2 linked regions of the Anolis sagrei genome follow. The protein of the gene in region 2 binds, or shares a complex with, the protein of the main gene of each other region. Links are inferred from orthologs where the notes say so. Each region holds a gene or a part of one and is shown on either strand. Other genes may lie near its edges. The genes, in order: LSM6 and LSM3.

The links.
Region 1: LSM3 (region 2) and LSM6 share a complex: the UniProt entries of both Homo sapiens proteins name them as parts of the precatalytic spliceosome. The link is inferred for Anolis sagrei from reciprocal best matches to the Homo sapiens genes LSM3 and LSM6.

Annotation. Positions count from the first base shown.
Region 1 is NC_090025.1:47,636,972-47,652,509, reverse strand, and holds the start of LSM6 (U6 snRNA-associated Sm-like protein LSm6), read right to left. Parts: upstream 7,490-15,538; 5' UTR 7,407-7,489; intron 3,507-7,406; 5' UTR 3,483-3,506; intron 1,282-3,482; 5' UTR 1,272-1,281; coding exon 1,178-1,271; intron 703-1,177; coding exon 589-702; intron 1-588. UniProt on the Homo sapiens protein: Plays a role in pre-mRNA splicing as component of the U4/U6-U5 tri-snRNP complex that is involved in spliceosome assembly, and as component of the precatalytic spliceosome (spliceosome B complex).
Region 2 is NC_090022.1:52,138,347-52,153,833, forward strand, and holds LSM3 (U6 snRNA-associated Sm-like protein LSm3), read right to left. Parts: upstream 7,274-15,487; 5' UTR 7,193-7,273; coding exon 7,172-7,192; intron 3,679-7,171; coding exon 3,568-3,678; intron 2,480-3,567; coding exon 2,384-2,479; intron 2,058-2,383; coding exon 1,977-2,057; 3' UTR 1,706-1,976; downstream 1-1,705. Other genes in the region: XPC (DNA repair protein complementing XP-C cells), read left to right, coding at 7,766-7,847, 11,937-12,138, 14,317-14,420, 15,324-15,438. UniProt on the Homo sapiens protein: Plays a role in pre-mRNA splicing as component of the U4/U6-U5 tri-snRNP complex that is involved in spliceosome assembly, and as component of the precatalytic spliceosome (spliceosome B complex).

The sequences.
Region 1 (15,538 bases), on a different chromosome or scaffold from region 2:
TGAATTCTTGTTATATGTTTTCTATTTTCCTATTATATTATTGTTCTATAGGGAATTTTCTATAGGGAAAATTTATTTATAATATTTATTTATATACTGACATACAAACATTCTCATCACTCTCTCCTTCACTTTTGTGCCACTACAACCATCTGAAGTGGTACAACACTTAGGAAGACAATCCCATTTTCCCACTTGAATTTCCAGCAAGGGTGGAAAAAACTAGTAGAAATTCCAACTTCATATAAACCCACACACATGTGCATGCACACACACAAACAAACATACAAAATTATAAATTAAAAACACACACATACACACATGTGCCCTACCACCATATAGCAGTTGAAGAGAAATTGTGAGAAACTTCATCTCTAAATCTTTTCCCAGTTTAAAAAAACAACCACACATAACAATGCCACAAAGTATATGTAGAATATCTCCCTTCCAATATGTGATGAAAGAAGGTCAACTGGCAGGATTTCTAGGCAGACTTGTATTTCTCTGTTAAGATGATTGGTATGATTTCTTCAAAACATTTGAAATGCGTATACCCAACTCTAGTATCTCTTAGTAAAGTATAAGTACCATTGTTTCCTCTGATGAAAGCATCTCCATATTTATTCTTCAGCTGTCCGTTTACGTATTCCTCTGTCTGTTCCAGAGCTATATTCATATATCCATCCAAGCAAGCCAGCACTCCTAGAACAATTAAACACAGAACTATTCAGATTTGAAAACTACACTTGTTTTGACTACCATTTGGGAGAACAAGCAAAATATAAATGAAATCAATCACTTTTCTAAGCAAATGTTGCATTAAAATTGCATGTAAATAGTGCATCACAAAAATGACTGGAGAAACTGAAACACATAGCTAATGGGAAGTCACATTCACCTATCAAATAAAGCAATATTCATTTTCTAACATTCAGTATACAAACTAAAAAGTTGCCATACAGAACTTTTAACACAGGGCTAATCTGCTTTGAAAGCTAGAAAAGCTATTCTTTCATTTATGGATTATGTAAAAATTATGTTAAAAGACAATTCATGGTAACACAGAACCTTCCCCAGCCATTCTGTACCATCAAAGTTTATATTGGTTCTTTGGCCTGACTAAAATATGGTGTAAATATATGAAGCTGGCTAAAGGATGAGACAGAAAAAAACGTACCTCGATAATCAACTCCAGAATTTAGCTTTACAACAACTGGTCTTCCAATTATTTGTTTCAAAAAATCACTTGGAGTTTGTTTCCGCAGGCTCATTCTGCCAGACCTAAACAAATAAGAATGAGGAAAATGCTTTATCTTGAAGAATGCAAAAGAGATAAAAACAAATGCTCAACAATGACAGTGAGATGGAATACACAGGAGTTTGCTAGGGAAATATCAAATAAAATGGTTGTTTTAAATGAAGAGATACTGGTTCCACAATCACCAAAAATTATCTTTAGCTACATAATCTGATATTCTTATTTAGATTTGCACATGAATCTATAAGATCTGGAGCCCCAGTGGCACAGCTGAGCTGCTGAACTTGCTGACCAAAACATCAACAGTTCGAATCTGGGGAGCGGGGTGAGTTCCCACTGTTAGCCCCAGCTTCTGCCAACTTTGTAGTTCGAAAACATGTAAATGTGAGTAGATCAATAGGTACTGCTTCGGCAGGAAGCTAACCGTGCTCCATGCAGTCATGCTGGCCACATGACCTTGGTTTAGAAATGGAGATGAGCACCACCCCCCAGAGTCAGAAACAACTAGACTTAATGTCAAGGGGAAACCTTTACTATATAAGATCTATTCACCATACAAAACGTATTTCTTCATTTAAATATAACATGGAATAAATAGCCTCTAACAACATTTTTAGAATTATTAAGTGGAAGTCCTATTTATATTCTTATACTACCCACTTCTTAAATTTATATTTTTTGCTTTCATCAACCTCAGTTCTAAGTGTCACTTAGACTTTTATCCTTCACATTCTCTAATGAGTTTTTGATATGTCACAAATGGTTAAGCAATCCACAAGCAAACACAACATCTGAGACACAACAGGTCTTTGTAAATGCACACAGGGACATAGACTGAATTCATTAGCAGAAATAGGTTTCAATGGATCCAATTATTTCTAGGACAGTCAGAAGCATTGTTGCTATAGGATATAATCTGCCACAGAGGTGCTGGCCTGAGACCCATCACCAACACTTAGATTAGTTCACAAGTAAAATCCAGAAAAAAATATCTGCAGAAAGTGGGCCAAGGGTAATTCGAAATTAGAACTTGGCCCTCTCAGTTACTTTTCAGGACAATAATTAGCTTTCCACTTTCAATATTTTTATAAGTGCCCTAAATAAGAGTGCAGAGGGATTGCTGATCAATTAACAGAGATATAGGTGGCACCTTAGGTACCAGCATTGATTTGAATAGATCCAAACACATTATGCCAAAACTAAATGAGGTTCAACAGGCAACCTGAAATGCACACGATGAAACAGAATTCTGCTCTGTGAGTCCAGAAGAGATTTCAGTTGAAAATCAGGATACATTTCATAACCATAAAAACTGTTATGTTGTGGAAGACACTTGCCTATGAAGATGGTGGAGTCTCCTTTTGCTAGAGCAATTTAAGCAGAGCTGGACAACTGTCAGTTACAAAATTAAAACTTTGCAGAGCCTATGCTTAGTAGTGAGTTGGGCATGACCTCTAGTAGCTTTCAACTTATGGGGGAAATTTTATGGCTAGTCCCAAGTAAAGTACTGTACTCCAACTGAATCTGCAGGCATTAGTGTTTTATTTTCTCCAAGGAATGACCCTTGATTTATCTAATCATATCAAAATCAATTTTGGCCTCAAAACCTGTCCTCAACTTATATATGAGGTTGACTTATACATGAATATATGGTACATTATTTCACTGATTCAACAGCTGTTATATTGGGACTAACAACTGGATTTAGCCCTATAGAAATGTATATTTCAAACAGCACTGAGAAAAAAAGTTCTAGAATCTGAATTAAACTGTAGTCTAGATATACACTTATTACTTAGACAGTCCACAAGAACTTAGATGGATTTATTACCAAGGAGACATGGATATGATTGTGGTGGATGTCCAACCAAATCCAATGGGATGTTGCTATTTGTATATAGCTATGTACTTTTACATTTTAATGGAGTATGCATTCCAAAATTGGGTGGGGTGATACCCATGGCTTGATGTCATATTATCTGTTTCTAGTATGAAAAAGGAAGAGCAGCCGACCAAGGGCAAGATGGATGGATGGTATCCTTGAAGTGACTGGCTTTACTTTGAAGGAGCTGGGGATGGTGACGGCCAACAGGGAGCTAAGCATGGGCTGGTCCATGAGGTCATAAAGAGTAGGAAGTGAATGAATGAACAACAAAAGTATATTCATCACCTAGTAAAGAGTTTAAAAACACACAGGATGTGGTGGTTAGTATCACATACTTACCCAGTCACTTGGCGATGAGAATGGCTGTGAGGATAAAAATACAGAGTGAAATGAGAAAACCGACCTCGATCTTAATCCATTATTGACAAGAAAAACATACTGCTTTCAGCCTTAACCTTTATTCCTTTGGAAAACCAACTGCGTAGATCCATACTGATATCTTCTCTCATTCTACCATTATAAAGGGTGGTTTGGAATGGGGGGAAAATCAATTTTTTCCCAATATTGTAGCTGTTTTTAATTTTGGGTGAGGAATCAGAAAAACAGAATTAAAACAGTTAACTACACACAGTTCATTCACAACTTTTTTTTTGCAATTCCATGGTTGCCCAGTTTTGATTAACATTCAGGCAATTCAATTGCGATTCTAGTATGATTCTTTAAAATGCTTTTGAGTTGATTTTCACATCAGATGTCAGCAAATTTGAAAATCTATTAGGCTGTACCTATGCTGCAGTATGAATTTGGTTTGATGCCACATTTAAAATGCCATGACTCAATGCTATAGGATCCTGGAAGTTGTAGTTTGACAAGGCACCAGCACTCTGTGGCAGAGAAAACTTTTAAAACTACAGCTCCCAGCACCATGACAGCTTCCAGCACTGTGATTGAGTCCTTGTGGGGAGAGAGGGTGGTCTAGAAATAAAGATTTATTATTATTTGTTTATATTTTTACTTGGCCATAGTGGTCAACACCTTGGTTGCATCCAGAATGGACTACTGTAATGCATTCTACGTGGGGCCTAACTTTGAAGATGGCTCAGAAGCTGCAGTTGGTGCAAAGATCGGCAGCTAGATTACTAACTGGAGCTAACTATAGGGAGCACTCTATGCCCCTATTAGAGCAAGTTAAGTTTCTGGACCCAATTCAAAGTGCAGGTTATCACCAATAAAGCCCTATACGCTTTGGGTCCAACCTATCTTCGAGGCCGCATTGAGATCTACCAGGAAGGCTATTTTCTCAGTCCCACCACCCAGGTACGAGAGGGCCTTCACCATGGTGGCCCGCTCCAGCTCTGGAATACCCTCCCAAGAGAGATTAAGTTAGCTCCCACTCGCCAAGCCGTTTGGGCTAGTTTAAAAACATGGCTTTTTAGGCAGGCTTTCGACTTTGTATAATTTATTGTCAGAGTAAGAATTCACCGATTGTTCACTCCGGGCACTTATTTATTTACAACATTTTTACCCCCATCCCAGGGGGAACTTCTGACAACCCAGCAGTTCGAAAACATGCAAATGGGTGTAGATCAATAGGTACCACTCCGGCAGGAAGGCAACAGCGCTACATGCAGTCATGCTGGCCACATGACCTTGAAGGCGTCTATTGATGCCAGCTCTTCACCTTACAAATGGAGATGAGCACCAACCCCCAGAGTCAGACACGACTAGACTTAATGTCAGGGGAAAACCTTTACCTATTCTTTGCCTATATAAAGGTTTTAACCTTTAAAGCCCTAAACAGTTCTGGCCCAGACTACCTGTCCGAACGTCTCTCCTGTTATGAACCATCATGAAGTTTAAAATCTTCAGGAGAGGCCCTGCTCTCGATCCCACCACAACCGCAAACGCAGTTGGTGGGAACAAGAGATAGGGCCTTCTTGGCAATGGTCCCCCGTCTTTGGAATTCTCTCCCCAGGGACATCAAGCTGGCCACCTCCCTCCTGTCCTTTAGAAGAAAACTGAAGACTTGGCTGTGGGACCAGGCATTCGATTAGTGGACAGTGGCAACTGGAAAGAAGACTTAGGATACCCCTGATATTGAATTTACCCAGACTTGGATTTGGTTTTAATCTAGCATGTTTAATCTATTGTTTAAATGCATTATTTTAATGTTTTAATGTATCCGTTATATGGTGAAAGCATAATACGGTGCTTGTGTGAGGCCACCCTGAGTCCCCCCTCGGGGGGAGAAGGGTGGGGTAGAAGTGTGGGTTGTTGTAGGCTTTTTCGAACTACATGGCCATGTTCTAGAGCCATTTTTTCCTGACGTTTCACCTGCATCTACGGCAAGCATCCTCAGAGGTAGTCAGGTTTGTTGGAACTAGGAAAAAGGGTTTATATATCTGTGGAATGACCAGGGTGGGACAAAGGACTCTTGTCTGCTGGAGCTAGGTGTGAATGTTTCAACTGGTCACCTTGATTAGCATTGGATGGCCTGGCTGTTGTTTGGTGTGGCTTGTTGGTGCCTGGGGCAATCTTTTGTTGAGAGGTGATTAGATGTCCCAGATTGTTTCCTGTCTGTTGTTTTGCTGTTGTAATTTCAGAGTTTTTAATACTGGTAGCCAGATTTTGTTCATTTTCATGGTCTCCTTCTTTCTGTTGAAATTGTCCACATGCTTATGGATTTCAATGGCTTCTCTGTGTAGTCTGACATGGTGGTTGTTAGAGTGGTCAAGCATTTCTGTGTTCTCAAATAATATGCTGTGTCCAGGTTGGTTCATCAAGTACTCTGGTATGGCTAACTTCTCTGGTTGAAGGAGTCTGCAGTGCCTTTCATGTTCCTTGACAAATTCATTCTTTTACATGTTTATGTATTGTTGTTTTATGTATGGCGCTTCAAAGTTCTTCTGTGAGCCACCTGAGTCCCTTCAGGGAGATGGTGGTGGGGTATAAATAAAATTATTATTCTTATGCTGCCTTTCTCTCACAATAGTACCCAATGCAGCTTCCAGAAACAACTCATTTCTTATTACATAGTGTTGTGATGTGAGCACTGAGATTTGGCTTTAGAGCAGGCTTAAGCCAACGTGTTTCCTCCAGTGGTTTTGGACTTCAACTCCCACCATTCCCAACAGCCTCAAGCCCCTTCCTTTCCCCCCTCAGCTGCTTAAGCTTTGAACTGGATTATATGGTAGACCAGGCATGGGCCAACTTGGACCCTCCAGGAGCTTTGGACTTCCAACTCCCACCATTCCTAACAGCCTCAAGCCCCTTCCTTTTCCCCCTCAGCTGCTTAAGCTTTGAACTGGATTATATGGTAGACCAGGCATGGGCCAACTTGGACCCTCCAGGAGCTTTGGACTTCCAACTCCCACCATTCCCAACAGCCTCAAGCCCCTTCCTTTTCCCCCTCAGCTGCTTAAGCTTTGAACTGGATTATATGGTAGACCAGGCATGGGCCAACTTGGACCCTCCAGGAGCTTTGGACTTCCAACTCCCACCATTCCCAACAGCCTCAAGCCCCTTCCTTTTCCCCCTCAGCTGCTTAAGCTTTGAACTGGATTATATGGTAGACCAGGCATGGGCCAACTTGGACCCTCCAGGAGCTTTGGACTTCCAACTCCCACCATTCCTAACAGCCTCAGGCCCTTTCCTTTGCCCCTGAGGGCCTGATCTACCATATAATACAGTTCAAAGATTAAGGAAAGAGTCTGGGGCTGTTAGAAATTGTGGGAGTTGAAGTCCAAACCCCCTGGAGGGCCCAAGTTGGCTCAGGCTTCCTTTAGAGACCGGGGTTCAAATGCTTGCTCAGCCATGAGGCCCACTGGGTGACCTTGGGAGTCAGACACCCGCTCAGCCTTAAAGGAAGGCAAACTCCCCACTCTGAACAATCTTGTCATGGAGTTGCCTTAGGTCGGAAAGGACAATATAAAACGCATTAAACCCGAAAGGGCCAAAGCTGCTCGAAGAGGGGAAGGCCGAAGCCACAGGGTATAAAGTGGCAGAATGAAGAAAGGCCGCTTGTCTTTCATTCAGGAAAGGGCTGTACCAAGAGGCGCGAAGGTGGGGGGGGGGGGCAGAAATGGGCCTTTCCAAGAACCCCTCCACAAAGGAAAGGAAGAGGAGCAGCAAAGCCTCGTCTCTGACCCCTCCCCCGCCGCCAAAAAAACCAAACAAGCCGAGTGGAACGTTCCGAGCGCGAGAGCACAAACAGTTGGGCGCGCGCTCACCGCCCTCCCTGACTTCTCGCCCTCAGTCACTCACCCGCGCCCTCTGACGTCCGCTCACCGTCTCGAACGCCTTCCCCGAACGAAGAACGACGGCGATGATGGATGATAGGCTGCTCGCCGAACCAATCAGCGCTTTTCGGCTTCACGTGGCAGCGACGGTGGCCAGCGCAGGCCAAAACTCTTCGGTGATGGAATTTTTGATTGGAGGCTGTTCTTTCTTTCTTATGTTTGGGAAAGGAGAAGCTTTGGGCCCATCCACACAACCCTATATCCCAAAATATCAAGGCAGGAAATCCCACAGTATCTGCTTTGAACTGGATTATCTGAATCCACGCTTGGATAATATGGGATTTTCTGCCTTGATATTCTGGGATATAAGGCTATGTGGAAGGGTCCTTTGCTTCTGAGGGCCCTTCCACACAACCCTGTATCCCAGAATATCAAGGCAGAAAATCCCACAATATCTGGGTTATCTGAGTCCACACTCAGATAATGTGGGATTTTCTGCCTTGATATTCTGGAATATAGGGTTGTGTAGAAGGGCCCTGAGTCAAGAGCCCCAAGGGCCCTGAGTCTGGGCACGACAATTGAAGAGTGATATTAACAAGCTGGAATGTGTCCAGAGGAGGTCGACTTAAATGATCAAAGGTCTGTAGAACAAGCCCTATGAGGAGTGGCTTAAAGAGCTGGACATGTTTAGCCTGCAGAAGAGAAGCTGGAAAGGAGACATAGAATCATAAGAGTTGGAAGAGACCTCATGGGCCATCCAGTCCAACCCCCTGCCAAGAAGCAGGACTATTGCATTCAAATCACCCCTGACAGATGGCCATCCAGCCTCTGTTTAAAAGCTTCCAAAGAAGGAGCCTCCACCACACTCTGGGGCAGAGAGTTCCACTGCTGAACGACTCTCACAGTCAGGAAGTTCTTCCTCATGTTCAGATGGAATCTCATTTCTTGTAGTTTGAAGCCATTGTTCTGTGTCCTCGTCTCCAGGGCACCAGAAAACAAGCTTGCTCCCTCCCTGTGGCTTCCTCTCACACATTTATACATGGCTATCATATCTCCCTCAGCCTGAGGGCTGTGTATAAATACATGAGGGGAAGTCATAGGGAGGAGGGAGCAAACTTGTTTTCTGCTGCCCTTGAGACTAGGATGCGGAACAATGGCTTCAAACTACAAGAAAGGAGATTCTGAACATTAGGAAGAACTTCCTGACTGTGAGAGCTGTTCAGCAGTGGAACTCTCTGCTCCAGAGTGTGGTAGAGGCTCCTTCTTTGGAGGCTTTTAAACAGAGGCTGGATGGCCATCTGTCAGGGGTGATTTGAATGCAATTTTCCTGCTTCTTGGCAGGGGGTTGGACTGGATGGCTCATGAGGTCTCTTTCAACTCTAGGATTCTATGAAAAGGCACGCAGAGTATGGGAACATTAATAAGCAGCCCCCCCCCTCCTTTATTGAATTATTGAGCATGCAAAATAGTGGAATGTGTGTGCTGTAGAATTAATGCAGTTTGACACCACCTGAACTGTCATGGCTTCCACACAGCTGAATAAAATCCCACATCTGCTTTGAACTGGAATATATGGCAGTGTGGACTCAGGTAACCCAGTTAAAAGCAGATATCTTGTAATTTTCTGCCTTGATATGGCTGTGTGGAAGAGCCCTAAATGTTATGGAATCCTGGAAGTTGTAAACTCTTAAGGCTCCTCAACTATTTAGCAGAGAAGGCTAAATAGCGTGTAAAACTACAATTCTCTTTATTCCATAGCATTGAGACAGGGCAGTACAAGTGGTGTCAAACTGCATTAATTTCCAGTGTAGATGTACTTCAAGGTCCCTTCCACACAGCTATAAAATCCACATTGAACTGGATTATATGGCAGTGTGGACCCATAATCCAGTTCAAAGCAGATATTGTGGATTACCTGCCTTGATATTCTGGGTTATATGGCTATGCGAAAGGACCCATAGTCTTCAGGTTAGACTATGTTTTGGACTTCCAACTCCCAGCATGGTCAACTGTCAGGAATTATGGGAGCTGAATTACAAAACTAGAAAAGATTGAAATTAGTGAAATAATAGTTGTAATGAATTACTCTAATAACCTGCTTTTGTCAGAAGGTGTGTTCAAGAAGGGGGATTATGTCCCAGCATTCAGAAGCTTAATTTTTTCAAAAAACAAAACAAAAACTTTGCACACTTACATGGTCTGCAATTGCTTGTTCCAAATTTGACCCTTTAGCAGCTTCTCCCTAAACAAATCAGAAATAATAATAAATCACATCTCGCTTTATCTCTTGATTGAGGACCCTTCCACACAGCCATATAATCCAGAATATCAAGGCACAAAATCCCACAATATCTGCTTTGGACTGGGTTATCTGGGTCCACAATGCCATATATTCCAGTTCAAAGCAGAAAATGTGGGATTTTATTCAACTGTGCGGAAGTGGCCTGAGATGCTAAGAAAGGTCACACTGATTCCAACAGAATTTCTTTTATTAAGAAACACACATGAAGGATTGGACTCTGTATCACAATCCTATGTATGTTTTACTCACAAGCAGAACCAACTCAAGCAGCTGAGTTTCAGATTTCATACTCCACCAGTTTCATATTTCAAGAAATAAAGTGCTTGTGGGATTTCCTGTCTCACTAGTCAATATACATGGCCTTGGGTACTCAGCACTTTGACTTCAGGCAGACTAATTCACTATTATGTATATTTAAGACTGCATACTCATGAAGCATTATACCTGAGAGAATAACTTGTAAACCAATGAGATAGCTAACATGTCAAATAAATCATTCTGGCATTGAACTGGTATTGAAAAACCATGCAAAATCAAATATTTGTGCACAATTCCTGCAGAAAAGAAGTGACAAAAAACCTCAAGTAGATGTTAGGAGAATTGAAGATTTTGGTGAGAAATCTCTGTGCATTAGAATAATTTAAATGTCACTGCAAACGATATTGTTAGTTTAATTGTCTTTCCCCCATTTAGAAAATAATTATTGTTTAGAAAAAAATACTGTCTATAGGATTTTTAGATTTGTGGATGCCTGAAATTCTGGGCTGGCAAACTTATTTTCTTATACATACTATCAAGAGTGCATCTGCACTGTAGACTTAATCCAGTTTGATACCACTTGAACTGCCATGGCTCAGTGCTAAAGAATCTTGTGGGTTGTAGTTCTACAAGGTCTTTAGTCTTCTCTCCCAGGCTGGGACCTCTTCTACACTGCCATATAATCCAGATTATTAAAGCAGAGGATCCACATTATCTGCTTTGGACTCGATTATATGAGTCTACACTGCCATATAACCCAGTTCAAAGCATATAATCTGGATTTTATATGACAGTGTACAAGGGCCCTAGATCTACACTGCCCTATAGCCCATGATCAGATCCCAAATTATCCTCTCTGAACTGGGTTATATGAGTCTCCACAGCAATACAATCTGGAGTAAGCAGATAATCTGGGATTCGGTCATGGGATATAGTGCAGTGTAGAAGGGTCCCCAGAAAGTGCTGGTGCCTCACCAAACTACAACTTACAAAATTTCAAAGCATGGAGCCAAGTCAATACTTTAGTAAGGATGCTGAGATACAGATATTTCTAATATAGAGGTGTTTTGTTTTGCTTTGATCTACATTGCATTTATTTAGGCAAATGCTATAATGATGGCAGTATGAGGAGAGCAGCACTAAAGGCACTATCACAAAAGTTACAGGTAACCCGCATGGCCATATATCCATGAATGAAATATGGCCAGACAGCTTGTATGCAAATCCCACTCAACTGCATAACCTTTGCTCTCTATTACATAAGTGACTATCTCTTGAGTCATGGTCCGAAAGTATTTCTTGTTTACTACGTAATTTCCATTAATTTTTATTATTTAGTTCCTCTGCCAAGCAAAGCAGGAAGGACACTCTGAGTGCTGGGATGATTGTAGTTTTTCTCTCTGGAGGATTGATGTCAAGGGAAATGAGAGTAAACAGTCTGAAAAAGCCCGCAGTTTCATGTCTGGCCAGAAGAGGAAGCAGAGACAATGCCTTGGGTATTGTTATTTTTTTTTTTTGTTCAAGAAAATTGATTTTAAACAAAAGGCACAAATAATTCAGAAAGTTTTCTGCATAAGCTCTGCAGAAAACCTTTTGCACCATTTCCATACATTTCATTATTGGCTGTGCGCAAGGCAGGAGTGTGGAAGAAAGGGATAGGTAAAGTGTGGCAAAATGCATTATAGCCAATAGGCAATAGAAGTAAATATACTATAGCTCAGGCATGGGCAAACTTTGTCCCTCCATGTGTTTTGGACTTCAACTCTCACAATTCCTAACAGCTGGTAGGCTGTTAGGAATTGTGGGAGCAGAAGTCTGAAACACCTGGAGGGACGAAGTTTGCCTATGCCTGCTGTAGCCAGTGAGACAGATAATATAATAAATTCAGTTTATTTTAGCTTAATAGGATCAGTAGTCAATATCCTAGTCAATGCTATATTAATTAAAAGCCATTTAAATGCATTCAGGATTAATTTCTATATAAATATGATTTTTGCAAATCTGTGAATAATCTGCAAAAGTCAAAATTGCAAATATGAAGGGCCAACTGTAGATCACATCAAGGAAAAACTGAAGCTGTTGAACATTTTCCTGTTAGATCACTATTTAGAAGCTCTACATGATGAAAAGGTCGGAAACTCATTTCGGTCTGACACACGAAAGACAACTGTGAGAGCTGTATGTGGCTGCCATTATCTAATGAACAGGGCAGCACTTAACATTTTTTTGATTTGATAAATGTAATTCATTCATTCCTGTGCTTTTCCAGCCCAGTCAATCTCATTTTATTTGGATCACTTATTCTGTAATTTACATTTTATGAGGAAAAATTATCCGTGAGATATTTCTTGGCCCTATCATCATTTCTAACATATTTCTATGAAAGCAATTAAACCACATTTTCAAATATTGTACGACATTTTGTGGCCCCCTTATCCACAGATTTAGTATCCACGGTTTGACTCAGCCACACTATAAAGCCTATTTCCCCATTAATGTTTGTATGGCTCTCTAGACACTTAAATAAATTTGTTTGGTACCCCTTCCAAATTTCAGGTAACCTTCGGTGGGAGTAGGACCACTAACAATGACAACAACAACAAGAACAACAACAATAAAGCCTGCAAATACTTTAATATTGTTTTAGGGGGATTCCCATCCCAACCAGTGAGAAATCTTCACCAATATCACCCAGAAGGTGAAAGGAATGGTATTGCAATATTGCACTGCATCTGGAGCAAAATATTTTAAAGGTTTTTGTGGGACTTAAGGTCTCTTGGGGGTGCTAATGCAGTACCCTAGAAATCTGCAATTTCCCACATTTGCTATATACAATTACAAACTACTTTCAAAAACATTTTATTAATTTACAAGGCTTAGTCACTATGCCCTCGTGATAGGCACCATTCCTTCTTTCAAGGAAACATTATCATTGAAAACTAAACTTCCAACTCTGTTCTTTAGAAGTCATGTGACACAAGGATATAGAATGCAGATTGTCAATCTCAGATCTCCCAACATCTTGTCTATATCCAGTAAAGTCCCCAACCTATGGTCCCAACCACTAGTGGTCCACAAGAACTAAAATATGGTCCACGGCCTATCCATTACTAGACTGTTGCAACAAGAGCGTCTGGTCTCGTGAAACCCTCTTATAGTGCCAAGGCTTCTTAAATATGGTTTTATATGGGTGAACAGATGGCGACAACTGGATGGCATATGTTCTGTATCAGAAACTAAATCTGATATGGCCTATCCAATGCAATTTTCTGAATCAGCACCCCAAATTACCAAACTGAATCTAAAGTTGACCCAAAACTGATTTGTAACTCTTTCGGTACAAATGTTGGAGTGTGATCCCTGGTCAAAGTGGTCCCTGGTCAGAAAAAGGTTGGGAACCACTGCTGTAAAGTATCCATAACACCAGAACCGGGTGGCATCTTTGGCTAAGTAAATTTAGAGGATATTGTATCAGTGGCCTAGGGCACCCCCTAATTCCAGATAGTGATCCATGGCTGTGTAGGACATTTGGCTAACTTGTTCTTTGCCATAGTTTGTGCTCACCATTTGGCCAGGCCAAAAATTAAAATGCAACAGACACCTGCACTTTTCCATGCAGAATCCACTTTCTTGATGGTAAATAGTGTTTAAAATGAATATTAGATATCATTAGGCTTATAATTCCAGATTCTGATAAGCATCAGAATATAAAAAAAGATTTATTTGATAACAGGACATGTTCACAGAAAAAGCAAAGTAACAGTAAATTCCCTCCCATAATGCCTCAAACTTACACAGGGACAACTGTAATCTTCTACAACTGTTTAGTTTTTCATTTGGTAAGGATATTTTTTAAATAATATTTGTTATAGTGCCTTTAGTGGTGACATTTGTAAATAATGGATCCTTTCATAATGCTTTGCTGAGACTGAATGTTTAGCACTGGAAAGGGCAAGTGAATATCATGTTGCAAATGGTATCTTCACGCAGCAAGTTTTTTCTTAACAATTGTATCAAAACTGCTACATCAAAACTTCATCTTAATGCTTGTATAGCAAACCACAAGTTACTGACAACACTAGGACAGCATGACAAACCATCATACAGTTGTGTTGTCGATGGCCGGAATCACTGGGTTGCCTTGAGTTTTCTGGGCTGTATGGTATTGTTCCAGAAGCATTCTCTCCTGACATTTCACCCACATCTATGGCAGGCATCCTCAGAGGTTGTGAGGTCTGTTGGAAACTAGGAAAATTGGGTTTATATATCTGTGGAATGTCCAGAGTGGGAGAAAGATCTCTTGCCTTCTTGAGGCAAGTGTGAATGTTGCAATTGGCCACCATGATTAGCATTGAATGGCCTTGCAGCTTCAAAGACTGTCTGATTCCTGCCTGGGGGATCATTGGTTGGGAGGTGTTGGCTGGCCCAATTGCAACATTCACACTTGCTTCAAACAGACAAGAGTTCTTTCTCCCACCCTGGACATTCAACAGAAATATAAACCTCACTTGCCTAGTTTCCAACAGACCTCACAACCTCTGAGGATGCCTGCCCTAGATGTGGGCAAAATGTCAGGAGAGAACACTTCTGGAACATGGCCATACATCCTGGAAAACTCACAACAACCCATCATCTAGTTGCTTGAAATCTGGCTCGTGATACATGAATTCAACCCTGCCAAGAAGCCATTGTTTCTTAGTCACCCTCAGATAAAAACTAAAATCTGTATTTCATTGTTGACTCAAGCTTTGACTTGTCTAGACCATGGCTTGCCATACTCTCAAAACCCACAAGTATGGCATGTTCGCAACTTTTTTTTCTTAGGCTCCTGGCCATAAAAAAGGGGAGAGGGAAGGCAGAAATATATAAATCAGAAAGAAAAAATAGAACGGAGCAGTTTTATTTGGTCAGCTGCCATTGAATTTAGGGTTTAAGCAATGAACTATAGTTAACACAAATCATGACTTACCTTGATGTGAAAACATGCCCTTGAGTTTATTCTATTTTCCTGTTTCAGTTTAAAACTGAAAATTACCTTTGTGTGTAAATTAGCTTTGATTTGCTGTATAACTATGATTTTATAATGTGAAGAGGAGAGGAGCTGGCCCTTCCATTATCCTCTAGAGCAAACCCATGACAATGAAATGTGGAAAAACATAATAAGAAACACCCTGCTCAAGGCCCATTTTTTTGTATTTAATTTTCTCTTATTCTTTTCATAGTCATTTTTTAAGATAAAAGAATTATGTACAAAATCTATATAGGAAAGTAAAAATGAAAAACCTTGTTGAACTATTCTCTTCACTGAAAGCACAACCAAGGGCATGAAAGAGCAATACTTCAGAACTGCAGTAAATTCAGCAAAGAGGTGCCTATCACAAGTAATATTCATAAATTTTACTAACAATGAGCTGAAGTTAACAGGTGAGCTGTGAAATGGCTATTTGCTGATGATGCTATTTTATGTAAGCTAGTTGCAGAATAATTACTGAAGGGCTCCAAAAGATCAAACAGAAGGTAGTAGTATTAAAATGGAAAATGCAGTTAAGTATAAACAAGTATATGGTGGCACGCATAGAAGATTTCATCATTGTCAT
Region 2 (15,487 bases):
TGTGGTGAGTCTGGCCAGGTTGTGCCTCATTGTTATAGCTAAACCAAGTGTTATATTGCTATATTATTATATTATATTATTATATATTAATTATATTGTTATATTGCTACTTCTTGCTCTCCTGACACTCATCATCATAGGCAATTCCTCGTGGCCAAGTATGATTGTCTTCCAGAAGTAGTTTTCCAATAGTATTCCGAAACAATGATGGAATAAAGGACCAAGTTTTGGTATATGTTCACTGGGAGGCCTACTGTCACTAGCAAAGCCTCTTAGTGTGGCTATAAAAGTCACTGCAAAACGCCTACACACATCCTTCCTGTTTTCTTCTTACGCCCCTCTACTTTCCTCTATGCACCTGTTCACAACTGCTAGATGTAATACTGTTGCAGGGAGCATAAAATTGAGACTATAAATGTACCTAACCATTTTAAGTCTTGAGTCATTGATATTTATAAAATGACGAGGAAACATTTTGTTCTTTAAGGATTACTGCTCAGCACGTTGTAACTGCCTACGTAGGACTCCACATTAAGGCAACATTTCATCAGAAACAAATGGATTAATTTGATGATAATACTTTGCCGCATAGTACATTGAGTTACATTATTGATGAGATAACAGGCCAGTTACATTGCTATCCAGATCAAACATAATCTGAACACAGGCAGCACCACCTAGTGTTTCATGAAGATCCAAAGTGTTCCGCAGAGGCAGGAATCATGCAAGGTCACAGGCACAGAGGGCAAATACGACAGTTTGGAGTGGTGAGTGTTGTGGAAAATGAAGAACAGTTGTTGCCAAATGCTTGGAGACTGATTGTACATATATAAAAATATAACAGCAGTGCTAAATAGAGAAAGTTGAACAATGCTATGCCAGCACTTGCTGAATCGTGCCAAACCATTTCATTACACAGAACACAATGTGTCAATCCTCCTCCATTATTCAAGTGTAATTATAATGGCTCAAATCCAATTTTTTGATTAAGCTAGAATGTAGCCAATGAATCACTGAGAGGTTGATAAACCAGCATTTTAAGTCATATTGATTTAATGGATACCTATTGCGAAAAAAGACAGGGTAGGAAAAAAAGATAATCATTATTATTAACAATAATTGATTTAAGACTAAGAACTGGACTTAGGGCAATGAAAGCCCTTTTACGTGTGCAGCATAAACAGTTAGGATGAGTCATCTGCATCACTTTAACCGCTTGGAAATTTTACTTTTTAACAGTTATTGTCACTACTAGGGAAGAAAGAGAACTGGTTTTCACTTCATGATCATCCTGTATGTCTTCCTCACTGCATTTCTGTAGACCTTCTGGCATTTTTTGCAGAGAGATACAATTACTGAAGTTTATATACACAGTGTGCATGTAGCCCAGGCGTGGGCAAACTTTAGCCCTCTGGGTGTTTTGAACTCCAGCTCCCAGAAATCCCAGCCAGCTTACCGGCTGTTAGGAATTGTGGGTGTTGAAGTCCAAAACACCTGGACTTTTGCCCATGCCTTATGTATCCCCTTTAATCTTCTTCAGTGAATATCACTTAAAACAGTAAACATATAATGCAGTCCTAACTGATTTGCACTAGATGTGGTCAATTGGAACCAAACAGAAACAGAAATAATCATGAGAATACTGCACCACACTGAAGTAAAAGCAGTGTGTGAATAGTGCTTATACATCAGCAGATATACAAAATAAGTAAATGAAATTTATTTAAAAAAAATAGGAGAGCAGTGCCCACAGACATTAACTAAAATGCTGAATACACCAATCTGATGCAGAAGGGAATGTTACTTATATTATTCCAGGTAACACGTTTTATAACATTTATTTCCCAAATCAAGTCATGAATTCACAATACACAGTCTAGGTTGTAAAGATCTGTGTAAAATTACGTGCAGAGTCTTTATATTTAAGAGGAGAAGAAACCAGTAAGTTGAGGTCCAAACAATCCAATTTCATAGTTTCAGCCAACCCTCAGTGGAGGAGCGACAAGTACGACTCCATCTCCTCTGACAAACAGCATTGGGATATTTCTCTTGGTGGACTATGAAAAGAGAAAGCAGAAATTTTCAGGCTATGAAAAACAAACCAAAACATAAAATCTGCTGTAAAAATTTCAAGTTACTTTAAAAATGTCAAAGCCCAGACATTAAAAAAACACATTTTCTAGCAGTAAATCTTAAATAAAAAAAATTATACAAACAGAAAAACAATAACTTGTATTTTAATTTACACATTACTCAAGTTAAATCTAGTTTACATGTAGGATGTTGTATAGATCTATAATAAGTAAATAGAGATCCAAAAGATCCATTTTAGATCTACATCTAAACTAGCACTTGACATTTGCAGAATATTCAAATGTCTTACTTTGTAGATTTCCTCATACGTTTCTTCATCAATCTCTATTGTTGTCACAGTTTCTTCAACATCACCCAAAATCATATTTAAATGCTGGTCGTAAGCCTTTGAAAATGAGATGTTCATAATATATTTAATTTTTAATATTAATGACAATATTTACATCCTTATAAACAATTTACATCTCCAGCAGAGAACCAAACAATGTTTATTTTTGGATAAGGTAATGCCTGAAATTTTTGTTTTTATTCAAAAATATATACAAAGCCTTTAACCCAAAGTAAATAAGATGGCAACCCTGAAACAATCAGGATTCCTTTTACCAAGAAACAAGGCACACATTAAAGAACCAGGTATGGATGGAACTGTAGCTATGCCTCAAAGAGAAATAGTAGTGGTGGGGGAATAAAGCAGGTGTTTATTTGAACATAGGGAGACTCCATCTTGAAATATTTTCTCCCATATAAGAAAGTGTTTGTTTTGATTCTTTAGCTCCAATGAGCCAGTGCAATAAAGGATAACTGGTTTACCTGACAATAATTCAACAGGGCAGGAGGGGGTCTGGGTTCACTTGCATATCTACCTTTGCATCCTAAACAGTCTGCTTCCCACTCTTCAGTTCAGATGAAGATTAAAACCCAATCCTCCACCTGCCAGGCATATTCCCTGGCAACATGCATTCACAGATCTCACCTGCTGTCTGTTTGGGGTGTCGGAAGAAAAAGTGGCCATATCAAGAGGCAGTTTTTTTTTTTACACAGGTGAAAGGTCCCTTCTGTGAGCAGTCTACTGTTCTGCTGCCACTAAGCCAGTTCAATGATTCACATGAGGACACTGCACTTTGAAAACATGAATTGCACCTGCTCATTCATTTATAGAAATGCCATCTCAGGAAGCCTTCTGAGAAATAAGATAAATCCACACTTTTCAAATTGTATAGGCTACATGAAAATTTACCATTTTCAAAGGATATTCAAAGGATTGTGATTAGGGATGTAGAGAAACTTCATTTAACATGTGCATGTTGTTATTTTTGAATACAAATCTGCTCAAACGTGTTGAACGTCTCTTCTGTCTTTTGTGGTAATTAATGCATTAATCTTTGTTGTAAAAGTTTTTGGATGAACACTAGCCAAATTCTATTTTATAGTGCAGTTTACCATCACCATGCATTTCAATAGAGTTTCACTTACATGTAATCTGCCTCGAAGTTCTCGGTCATTTCTCATTTTCACATAAATTCGTTCATCAAGACTAAGTCTGATGAGATCCAAAGGTTCTTCTACTGTATTAGTAGTTTGTTGCTATAAAGAAAGAGATCACAAATAATTGCTATGGATAAAACGATACGGATGAACTCAATGAAGAAAAGCCTTAGATGACATTTACTCTGGCTTCCTTGATATGTTATGCAGCCTTCCTCTTTTCCTACCTTCTACCTTTCTAAGCATTGTCATTCTTTCTAGTGAGTCATGTCTTCTCATGATACATCTAAAATACAACAGTCTCAGTTTAGCCACTTAGTCACTTCTATAGAAAAGCTACTTAGGAAGCAAAAAGTACTTCATTTCATTACATGACACCTGTTTTTAATTTCTTGATTCTATCCATCGAAAATGCGGTGTTACTGTTGTCACACAGAAGAAAAAATCCACTTAAAATCCGGTTTCTGGCTCACTAAACTACCCCAGAATTCTGCAGGAGGCAGAAGCCAGATTTTAAGTGGATTTTTTTTCTCTAGTGTGATAAAGTGGTTAGTGCTCTTCCCAAGCATTATTGTCTTTGGGTTGCTGTAAGTTTTTTGGACTATATGGCCATGTTCCAGAAGCATTATTTACTGATGTTTCACCTGTATCTATAGCAAGCATCCTGAGAGGCTTGCCACAGATGCAAGCAAAATGTCTAGAGAAAATGCTACTGGAACATGACCATACTGCCCAAATGTTGGAAATTACAGCCTTCTTCAAGCCTCCTCTAGTAATCTGTTAATATATTCTGTTTTCTTACTGTTTTGTATGCCTGTTCTGATATGTAGCTTCTTTTGCTCTATGTTTCATGAGAGGTTGTGGGAGGGGCTGCACACCACATGATCTGATCTGAGACTGTTCAGACCTCAGACTCCATTTTAGATTTCTTCTTAGACTCAGACCAACACTTGCCTGCTGTTGTTGAAAGAAAGAAGCCTTGTGTCATCTGCACATAGAAACTATCTCAAATATATCTGAAATTGGACTGATAAGCTGTGTACCTGTGTTATGCTGAACATGAAGGCTGTGAGTAAAGCATTTTTTTTCAAAGCCTACAACTGAAGACATAATAATAATAATAATAATAATAATAATAATAACAACAACTTTATTCTTATATCCCATCACAATCTCCCCAAGGGAAGTTGAGGCGGCTTACAGGGGGATCAAGCCCAACATAAACAAAGGTTACAAGTAACATAATTAAAAACATTTAACAATAAAATATACTAAAACAATAAAACCATTGGAGTAAAAAAAACATAATAAAAGACATTGACACATACTATATTTGGTTGTATACTATTTGAGAAGATTCTACTCAAATGGGTTTTTGGCTCTTATTTATTTATTTATGACATTTATATGCCACCCTTCTCACCCTGAAGAGAACCTCAGAGCAGCTTACAAGATAGTAACCTACGGATGTGAGAGCTGGACCTTAGGGAAGGCTGAGCGAAGGAAGATAGATGCTTTTGAACTGTGGTGTTGGAGGAAAGTTCTGAGAGTGCCGTGGACTGCAAGAAGATCCAACCAGTCCATCCTCCAGGAAATGGGGCCCGACTGCTCATTGGAGGGAAGGATACTAGAGACAAAGTTGAAGTACTTTGGCCACATCATGAGGAGACAGCAAAGCCTGGAGAAGACAATTATGCTGGGGAAAGTGGAAGGTAAAAGGAAGAGGGGCCGACCAAGGGCAAGATGGATGGATGGCATCCTTGAAGTGAGTGGACTGACCTTGAAGGAGCTGGGGGTGGTGACGGCCGACAGGGAGCTCTGGCGTGGGCTGGTCCATGAGGTCACGAAGAGTCGGAGATGACTGAACGAATGAACAACAACATACATACACACACACAATACATTATATTATTAGCATCTTACAATATCTGTATTGTATATTACTATATTGTATAACTCTTATAGTATAATCTGCAAATGGTTGTGAATGCCATTTTCCAAACCAAAAAACTCACAAACAATCCAGTGATTCTGGTATGAAAGCCTCCGACAACACATTATTGTCTTTTCTAGTGAGTCAAGTCTTCTCCTGATACATATCAAGTATGATAACGTCTGGGTGTATCTATACTGCAGAATTAATGCAATTCGACTTTCACTACCTTGGCTCAATCCAATGGAATCCTTGGATTTGCAGTTTGATGAGGCACATCGATCTTTGGCAGAGGCGGCTAAAACTACACCTCTCAGGATGCCATAACATTCAGCCATTATGTGGTGTCAAACTACATCCATTTTACAGTGTAAATGCAGCCTTGGTTTAGTCACCTTGGCTTCTATAGAAAATTCACTGAGAAACCACACTCCTGCATCAATTCTGCAGTGTATATACACTTGGATTCAGAAGGATGAACATGTACCTTATGACAAGACTTGCTCTCCAAAATGAACTCCATGCAAAATAAGGCATTACATTAGGAATTGGGATAACATTAGGAATTGGGACAGTTCCATCCTCCTCCTGATATGTCATCTGTCGGGGACCTCTCCCTGCAGCACCAACTGCTGCTCTGGGCCAGAGTGAAGAGAGAGGGGGCCAGGGGACAGTTCCACCTTGTTTCCTGTGCTATTCTAATAATACAATATAATGCAATGTAATATAATATATTGTATATACATATAGGTAAAGGTAAAGGTTTTCCCCTGACATTAAGTCCAGTTGTGTCTGATCTGGGGTGTGGTGCTAATCTCCATTTCTAAGCCAAAGAGCTGACGTTGTCCATAGACACATCCAAGGTCATGTGGTCAGCATGACTGCATGGAGCGCCGTTACTTTCCCGCTGGAGCGGTATGTACTGATCTACTCACATTTGCATGTTTTCGAACTGTTGGGTTAGCTGAAACTGGGGCTGACAGCAGAAGCTCACGCCACTCCATGAATCTGCGACCTTTCAGTCGAGAAGCTCAGCAGCTCAGCACTTTAACCCACTGTATATTGTATATACATATAATATTTATAATATTATAATGTAATACAATATAATATGATATTTTAATAATTATATATTTATATTACATGTAATATTACTAATAACATTACAATATAATGGTATAGTACAATATAGTAATATTTAATACTGATGTGGTACTATGTTAATACTATAATATATAATATAATATACCTCTGAGGATGCTTGCCATAGATGCAGGCGAAACGTCAGGAGAGAATGCCTCTAGACCAGTGGTTCTCAACCTGGGGTCCCCAGATGTTTTTGGCCTACAACTCCCAGAAATCACAGCCAGTTTACCAGCTGTTAGGATTTCTGGGAGTTGAAGGCCAAAAACATCTGGGGACCCCAGGTTGAGAACCACTGCTCTAGACCATGGCTATACAGCCCGAAAAAACCTACAACAACCCAGTGATTCCGGCCATTGTATGTATATATCCCTTGTAAGCTGCTCTGAGTCCCCTTCGGGGTGAGAAGGGCGGCATATAAATGTCGTAAATAAATAAATAAATGTTAAAATCAGCCCCCCTTCTCCCTTTCATTTCCTCCCCAAAAGAGACGCAGGAGATAACGCGGTCACCCACCTGATCAACCTCGTCCGCCATTTTTTCAAAGGCGGTTCGAGTCTCTTCTCGCGGTATTTTATGCCCGGTCCGCTGTGTTAGCGGCAGGCGCTCTAGACTTGTTTTAGAGGCACTCTCACAGGCGCTCACTTCCGGGTCGCGTCCGTTTCCACAGAGCTTGGCTTCTATATAGTAGTGCTTTCGGACTCAATTTCCCAGAATCCCTCATCATGGCCCAAGGGTGTTGAGGATTATGGAAGTTGGAGTTCTAGGGGGAAAAAGAGGGATTGGGCAAACTTGGGCCCTCCGAGCGTTTTGGACTTCAACTCTCACCATTCCTCCCAGCCTCAGGCCCCTTCCTTTTGCCTCTCAGCCGCTTAAGCGGCTGAGAGGCAAAAGGAAGGGGCCTGAGGCTGGGAGGAATGGTGAGAGTTGAAGTCCAAAACGCCTGGAGGGCCCAAGTTTGCCAAGGCCTAGGAAGCCAACTTAGATCCTCCTCTTCCTCCTCCATCTCTGGCTGCGCCGGCACGCCCCCTAGTGGCCAGTGGCGCGCTCGCGTTCTGTCTCCATTGTTTTCCCCATGCGGGAAGGAAGCCCCCGAAGGAGCCGCCAGCGATGGGCGACAGCAGCAAGCGCAAGGGCCGCCCCTCGCTGCAGGGCGCCGGCAAGAGGCCCCGCGGGGACGGGAAGCCAGGCGGTGAGACCCCGAAAGAGCCATGAAGGCCGTGATGGAGGGAGGGAGGGAGGGGATAGATACACAGAATGCCCCTGACACACTGTAGAATGTAGAAGGAGCCCCCGGTGGCGCAGTGGGTTAAACCCCTGTGCCGGCAGGACTGAAGACCGACAGGTCGCAGGTTCGAATCCGGGGAGAGGCGGATGAGCTCCCTCTATCAGCTCCAGCTCCTCATACGGGGACATGAGAGAAGCCTCCCACAAGGATGATAAGAACATCAAATCATCTCTTGGGCATTCCCTGGGCAACGTCCTTGCAGAAGACCAATTCTCTCACACCAGAAGCGACTTGCAGTTTCTCAAGTCGCTCCTGACAAGACAAAAAACAAAAATGTAGAATGAAGTTTGGCACTGCCATGGCTCAAGCTATGGGATCGAGAGCCCTGTCGCTTTAAGGGATTTGGCCTTCTCTGCCAAAGAGTCCTGGTATTGTATTGTCTAAGGCAGGGGTCCTCAAACTAAGGCCCGGGGGCCGGATGCGGCCCTCCAAGGTCATTTACCCGGCCCTCGCTCAGGGTCAACCTAAGTCTATAATGACTCAAAAGCACACAACAACAATAACAACAATAACAATCCTATCTTATCAGCCAAAGGCAGGCCCACATTTCCCATTGAAATACTAATAAAATTATATTTGTTAAGATTGTTCATTTTAATTATTGTATTGTTTTTAATTTTTTTTTTGCACTACAAGATATGTGCAGTGTGCATAGGAATTCATTCATTTTTTTTTTCAAATTATAATCCGGCCCTCCAACAGTTTGAGGGACTATGACCTGGCCGTCTGTTTAAAAAGTTTGAGGACCCCTGGTCTAAGGCTTTCATGGCCAGAATCACTGGGTTGTTGTAGGTTTTTCGGGCTATATGGCTATATTCTCTCCTGATGTTTTGCCTGCATCTGTGGCAGGCATCCTCAGAGGTTGTGAGATGCAGGTGAAACGTCAGGAGAGAATGCTTCTAGAACATAGCCTTATAGCCTGAAAAACCTACAACAACTCAGTGATTCTGGCTATGAAAGTATTTGAACATTTTCCCATATATATATATTTATGGATTTTGTGCAGGAGAACGTCCCAGTGGATTGCACTCTGTTTCTGGTTAGTCACAACCCCTGAGGATGCCTGCCACAGATTCAGGTGAAACGTCAGGAGAGAATGCTTCTAGAACATGGCCATATAGCCCGAAAAACCTACAATAACCCAGTGATTCCGGCCATGAAAGCCTTTGACAATACAATACCAGCAAGCGTCCTCAGAGGTTGTGACTAACCAGAAACAGAGTGCAATCCACTGGGACGTTTTCCTGCACAAAATCCATAAATATATATGGGAAAATGTATTGTCAAATACTTTCATAACCGGAATCACTGAGTTGTTGTAGGTTTTTCAGGCTATATGGCCATGTTCTAGGAGCATTCTCTCCTGATATTTTGCCTGCATCTCACAAGCACTGAGGATGCCTGCCAAAAATGTAGGCAAAATGTCAGGAGAGAATGCTTCTAGAACATGGCCACATAGCCCAAGAAACCTACAACAACCCAGTCCTGGTACTTCACCCAACTGCAACTTTCCATAGCAGAGTGGAACCGCATTTATTCTACAGTGTAAGACCCCATCTGCGGCCCCTTCCATACAGCTGTATGAAACCCCACATCTGCTTTGAACTGCGTTATATTTCAGTGTGGACTCAAATAACTCAGTTCAAAGCAGATATGGTGGGATTCTCTACCTCGATATTCATGGCTGTATGGAAAACAGAAAGTGTAGGATTTTATTCAACTGTGTGGAAGGGGCCTGAGAGCGTATCAATAACCATTTACAGCTTTTGGCACTCTCTGGCCAGGATTCCATTGCATAACTCTGTACAAAACCGAACGAAAGGAAACAACAGAGATTATCCGTCTCCACCTTTTAAATGATTTTGGCTTCCTATGGAATGAGCATTTATTAATCTTCCAGGATGAAATGCACCCCTCCTTTTCCAGAATCGGCTTTCCAAAAGACTCAGCGGAAGCGTTTGATGTGTGAATGTCTTCAGCATTCCATGCTCTGCTGCTTTATGCAACAGGCACGTGAACAGAAGAGACTTTCGCCCAGTTGCTTCCAGCAACTACATAAGGAAAACTTGCTGTATAAGAAGAGGCTGTTAGACTAAGCAAAAAGTTTCAGATGAGGAAAATGACAAAATGTTTCAGAGAAGAAAAATCGAGCTTTTCTTTTTGCTTTTTTCTAAACAGCTTGATCAAGAAGAGAAAAGGCAACAGACAGTAGCTTTTGTTGAACCATTTTGGAGTGCGTTGTTTTCAAAAAAATTTATCTTCCAGACCAGACATGGGCAAACTTTGGCCCTTCAGATGTTTTGGAATACAACTCCCACAATTCTTAACAGCCAGTGCCATAGGCCCCTTAAAACATGCTGAACATTTTCCTATCTAAAACTGCATTCAAGAATCCCTCATGTTCTTGGAAACTAAGCAGTGTGAAATATTTGTATATCTTCACCCCAATGAATGCTAGCTGCTACAGGTTATATTTCAAAGAAAGGAACTGACAAAGCCATCTCTGAGGCCTCTTCTGCACTGCCCTATATCCCAAGTTCTGATCCCAGATTATCTGCTTTAAACTGGATTATATGAGTCTCCACTGCCAAATAATCTGGGATAATCATATAATCCTGAGATATAGGGGCATTGTGGAAGGGTTCTGAGTCTTCTTCGCTTAAGAAAACCCCATTAAATTGATGGGGTTGCCATTCGGCAACGGGTGACTTGAAGACATGTACGCACAAGTTGCTTTGCCTTATTTATTTATTTATTTATTTATTTGTCATGTCAGAAGCAACTTGAGGTTACAGTTATCATGTATTCAAAAACACAAACAAAGTTTAAAACTTTGCATTATACTAAATGTCCTTTGACCAGAAGCAGGCCACTTGGGGCCCTTCTCCACAGCCCTATATCCCAGAATATCAAGACAGAAAATCCCACATAATCTGAGCGTGGAGTCAGATAACCCAGTTCAAAGCAGATATTATGGGATTTTCTGCCTTGATATTCTGGGATATAGGGCTGTGTAGAAGGGCCCTTGGAGTGCCTCTGGTATCGCTGTAAGAAGGTTCATGTGGCAGGGCTCAGTGTGGAGAAGAGCAAACCACTTACTACAGTGCAGCTTGAGCTCCAGTGCTTTGCCTTGAAAGATGATACAAAAATATTGTGAATAAAAGTTTTTGTTATTGGCTATTTGATCACTACATATTTTAATTACAGTAATAGTATTAAGGTAATAACCCTAGGATAGGCTTGTCAGAAATTGGAGTCAGCTTTAAAACTTGTACGAATATTAATATTCCTGTATTTTATACTACCCAGAGTATTCTGCCCCAAGGACTGTACAGTTTGAAACCTTACATAAGCAATAATGGAGGAAGTAGACCCAGGTGGTTGCAGTTGCATGTTTAGTCTTCATTGTGCTATTAGCCTTCAGACATTTGCATAGGATGCTTGATTTCCTATCACTTGGTGGCTTGAAATGAAATGTATAAACTGACATTATATGTCATTTTTCTCAGTTATAGTTTATGTTCTCATCTACTCTATCTAAAAACAAGCCATAAAGACACAGCATGTGGGAGTGCTGCATTTTTAGTTTCCAAGGTTCAGCAGCTTTCATCATTCCTTGTTTTTAGAAATAGCAGTTTCTTCTTTCCCAGGATTGTTTAGAACAGTCTAAATAGACAGGTAAAAATATACCTCTGCCATCAGGCGTTTAATGAATGACGAGGTGCAGGCTGCTGGAGATGCTGGAAGTAAGATTGGGGGATTTCCATCTAAATGATGCTGGAAGTAAGATTAAGATTTCCATCTAAGTGTGTTTGAATAGGACTGGGTTTGAATGTAGATAATTATGGGAAAGAAAGAAACACAGAGAACACTTCAGCAGTTATTAATATTTACATTGGGGTCCGTTGCATATTATAGTGCATCAAAGAGATAATCACTTTCCCCCAAATGTGTGATTTCAGTTTTCTCTATCCTACCCCTCATTTGATACAGATGATTTTGAAGCTGAAAAACCCAAAAACACAAAACGTTTGCCCAAGGCTTCCTCCGAAAAAAAGAAGAAAAGAGAACATGAAGAAAGTGTTTCTTCCTCCTCCTACAAAAATGCAGAACAGAAGGCCAAAAAGCCCAGAGTTAAAGAGGAAAATAGCGCTGTAGAAAGACAAAGATCCTGTAAGAAGGGAGAGAGATCCAGGTGAGTGACTGTATAGATCAGGTTTTCACATAAACAACAAACCAGAATTGCTCTGATTTTGTACTTCTTGCAGCAACAAGCGAAAGCTTAGCACTGTGTTTGGTTCCAAGAATCGTAAACCATGAGTGAGTGAACTCCAGTTTTAGGTTCTGATTTGTTAGGAAAGAGATAGTTCAGGAGTCCTGGAGCTTTTATTTATTGATGACTTCCATCATAGTTTGACTGCTTCTGTTGGTAAGTGGATCCAAATAAGGGTAATAGGATAACACCCTCCTGGTGTTCAGAAAAAAAAAAGAAGAACACCTGGCTTTGCAATCAGGCACAATGTAGCATGCAAATGATGACCTTAGGACTGGGTTTTATGTTTTAATCATTTTATGATATTTATATGTTTTAACTATTGCATTGATGTATTTTATTTTATGTTGTTGAATAAGCAGTATTAAATATTGCCACTCTGTACACCTGCAAGGGTGAGAAGAGTAGGACAGAAATATAGCAAATAAATAAATAAAATGTGTTAATGCATTGCTTGTAAATCAGAGGTGGGTAATTAGTGTATTTGTACAATACGAAGACACATTTTCCCTGTATAAACATTTCTAAAATCGGATGTGTCTTAGAATTTCAGGTGTATCTTATGCATTTTTGTTGTTGGTGGTGGTACTGATATTAGGGTGCATGTTAGAATCAATGGTGTCTTGCAATGGAAGTATATGGGAGTCAGGACTCAGTTCCCCCATCTCTCCCAAAGGACTCCCCACAAATCCCCAAAAGCTATGCCAAGTAAATATACAATCAGCCCTTCACACTTCTGGGTTTAACTTTTGTGGTTTTAATTAATATGTTCTCTTTAGGAATTTCTAAGTCCTCCAGCACAACACTATGGTCAACTTCTGCTGACTGACAGAAGCTATATAGCCACACTGGAAAGCATTTCTTTAGGCATTTGTTTGTCATCAAGCATGAATCTATGGTCAGTTTCCAGTGGAAGGTGTTTTCTGATGTAAAAAAACCGACAATTTTTCATTCCCATTTTTCCACCTTTGTACGGGTCCTGTGTTTCCCCAGGGAATATGATCAATAGACTATATGGTGTATATACACTGCAGAATTGATGCAACTCGATATCACTTTATCTGCCATGGTTCTATGCTAAGGAATACTGGAAACTTTAGCATTGTAAAGCTTTTAGCCTTCTCTGCCAAAGAGAATTGGTACCTCACCAAACTACAAATTCCAGAATTCTATAGCATTTGTTGTTCATTCGTTCAGTCGTCTCCGACTCTTCGTGACCTCATGGACCAGCCCACGCCAGAGCTCCCTGTCGGCCGTTACCACCCCCAGCTCCCTCAAGGTCAGTCCAGTCACTTCAAGGATGCCATCCATCCATCTTGCCCTTGGTCGGCCCCTCTTCCTTTTGCCTTCCACTTTCCCCAGCATAATTGTCTTCTCTAGGCTTTCCTGTCTCCTCATGATGTGGCCAAAGTACTTCAACTTTGTCTCTAGTATCTTTCCCTCCAGTGAGCAGTCGGGCTTTATTTCCTGGAGGATGGACTGGTTGGATCTTCTTGCAGTCCAAGGCACTCTCAGAACTTTTCTCCAACACCAGAGCTCAAAAGCATCTATCTTCCTTCGCTCAGCCTTCCCTAAGGTCCAGCTCTCACATCCGTAGGTTACTACAGGGAATACCATGGCTTTGACTAGGCGGATCTTTGTTGCCAGTCTGATGTCTCTACTCTTGACTATTTTATCGAGATTGGACATTGCTCTCCTCCCAAGAAGTAAGCGTCTTCTGATTTCCTGGCCACAGTCTGCATCTGCAGTAATCTTTGCACCTAGAAATACAAAGTCTGTCACGGCCTCCACGGTTTCTCCCTCTATTTTCCAGTTGTCAATCATTCTTGTTGCCATAATCTTGGTTTTTTTGACGTTTAGCTGCAACCCGGCTTTTGCGCTTTCTTCTTTCACCTTGATTAGCATTAAGCCATAGCAATTAAAGTAGTGTCAAACTGTTTAATTCTACACTGCAGATGAACCCATTCACTCAAAGTGAAATGTAGTTTCTTTGAAAGAAGCTAACTTGCAAACATGGGCATGCCAGAGGAAAAGTGCAAAATTAAGTGAGAGCAAGTGTTGTAATAGATGCCTGCTCATTTATTCTTGCATGTATTATAGTGGCTTGCAGAGCAGTCCTCAAAAGAAAGATATAAAAAAAGAGATCACCATCAAAAAGAAAGAGGAAGAGGAGGAAAGTGAAGATGAGTGGGAAGATGTCGAAGGTAATACAGCTTTGGTTTCCTTCTTCATAGATCATGATTCTTTCATTCATTCATTCATTTAATACAGCAGTCTTTGGGCTTATTCTCTAACTAAAATCTTCTTCAACAAGCCAGATTTTATCCTATCTCATCTACTTTTGTATTATTTTTGTTTACCACTGAGTTAAGGTTATCCATGCTTTAATGTTCAAAAGTGATTTTTTTTATAAAAAAAAGTTATTTGATTTAAACTAGCAAGTCAACCGCTGAGCTGCTGAACTTGCTGACCAAAATTTGGCTGTTCAAATCTTGGGAGTGGGGTGAGCTCCCGCTGTTAGGCCCAGCTTCTCCCAACCTATCAGTTCAAAAACATGCAAATGTGAGTAGACCAATAGGTACCACTTCAGCGGGACAGTAATGACATTCCATACAGTCATGCCAGCCACATGACCTAGGAGGTGCCTACGGACAACGCCGGCTCTTTGGTTTATTTATTTATTTACCACATTTATATACCGTCTTTCTCAGCCCAGAGGCGACTCAGGGCGGTTCACAATTGGCAACAATTTGATGCCTCAACAGTTATAACAATAAAACAATCATAAAATAATGTTAAAAACATTTAGCATAAAATATAATAATATTTAAAAACCATACAAAGCCATAAAAACATTGTCGTGAGTGTCTCCATGTTGTCATTATTCAATTGCATTGTCAAGTCGTTCCATGATTCTGTATAACTATGCTGTATTTGGGAAGGCCCGCTCAAAAAACTAGCTTTTCAACTTTCTTAGAAATGGAGATGAGCACCACCCCCCAGAGTTGGACACAACTAGAGTTGATGTCAAGGGGAAACCTTTACCTTAGCAAGTCACACTGAAGAATGTTTGAACCACTATATCAAGATATGCATTTTGTTTCCAGAACTTCATGAGCCTGAGGTAGAGTTGCTGGAAAAGGTTGCTGCACCAACGCTTCCCAAAGAAGCAGTTGAAATAGAGATTGAGACCCCAGAACAGGCAAAGAAAAGAGAGAGAAGGTAAGTTGAGCCCCACAAGCTCAGTGTCCAAAGTTTATTTATTTATTTC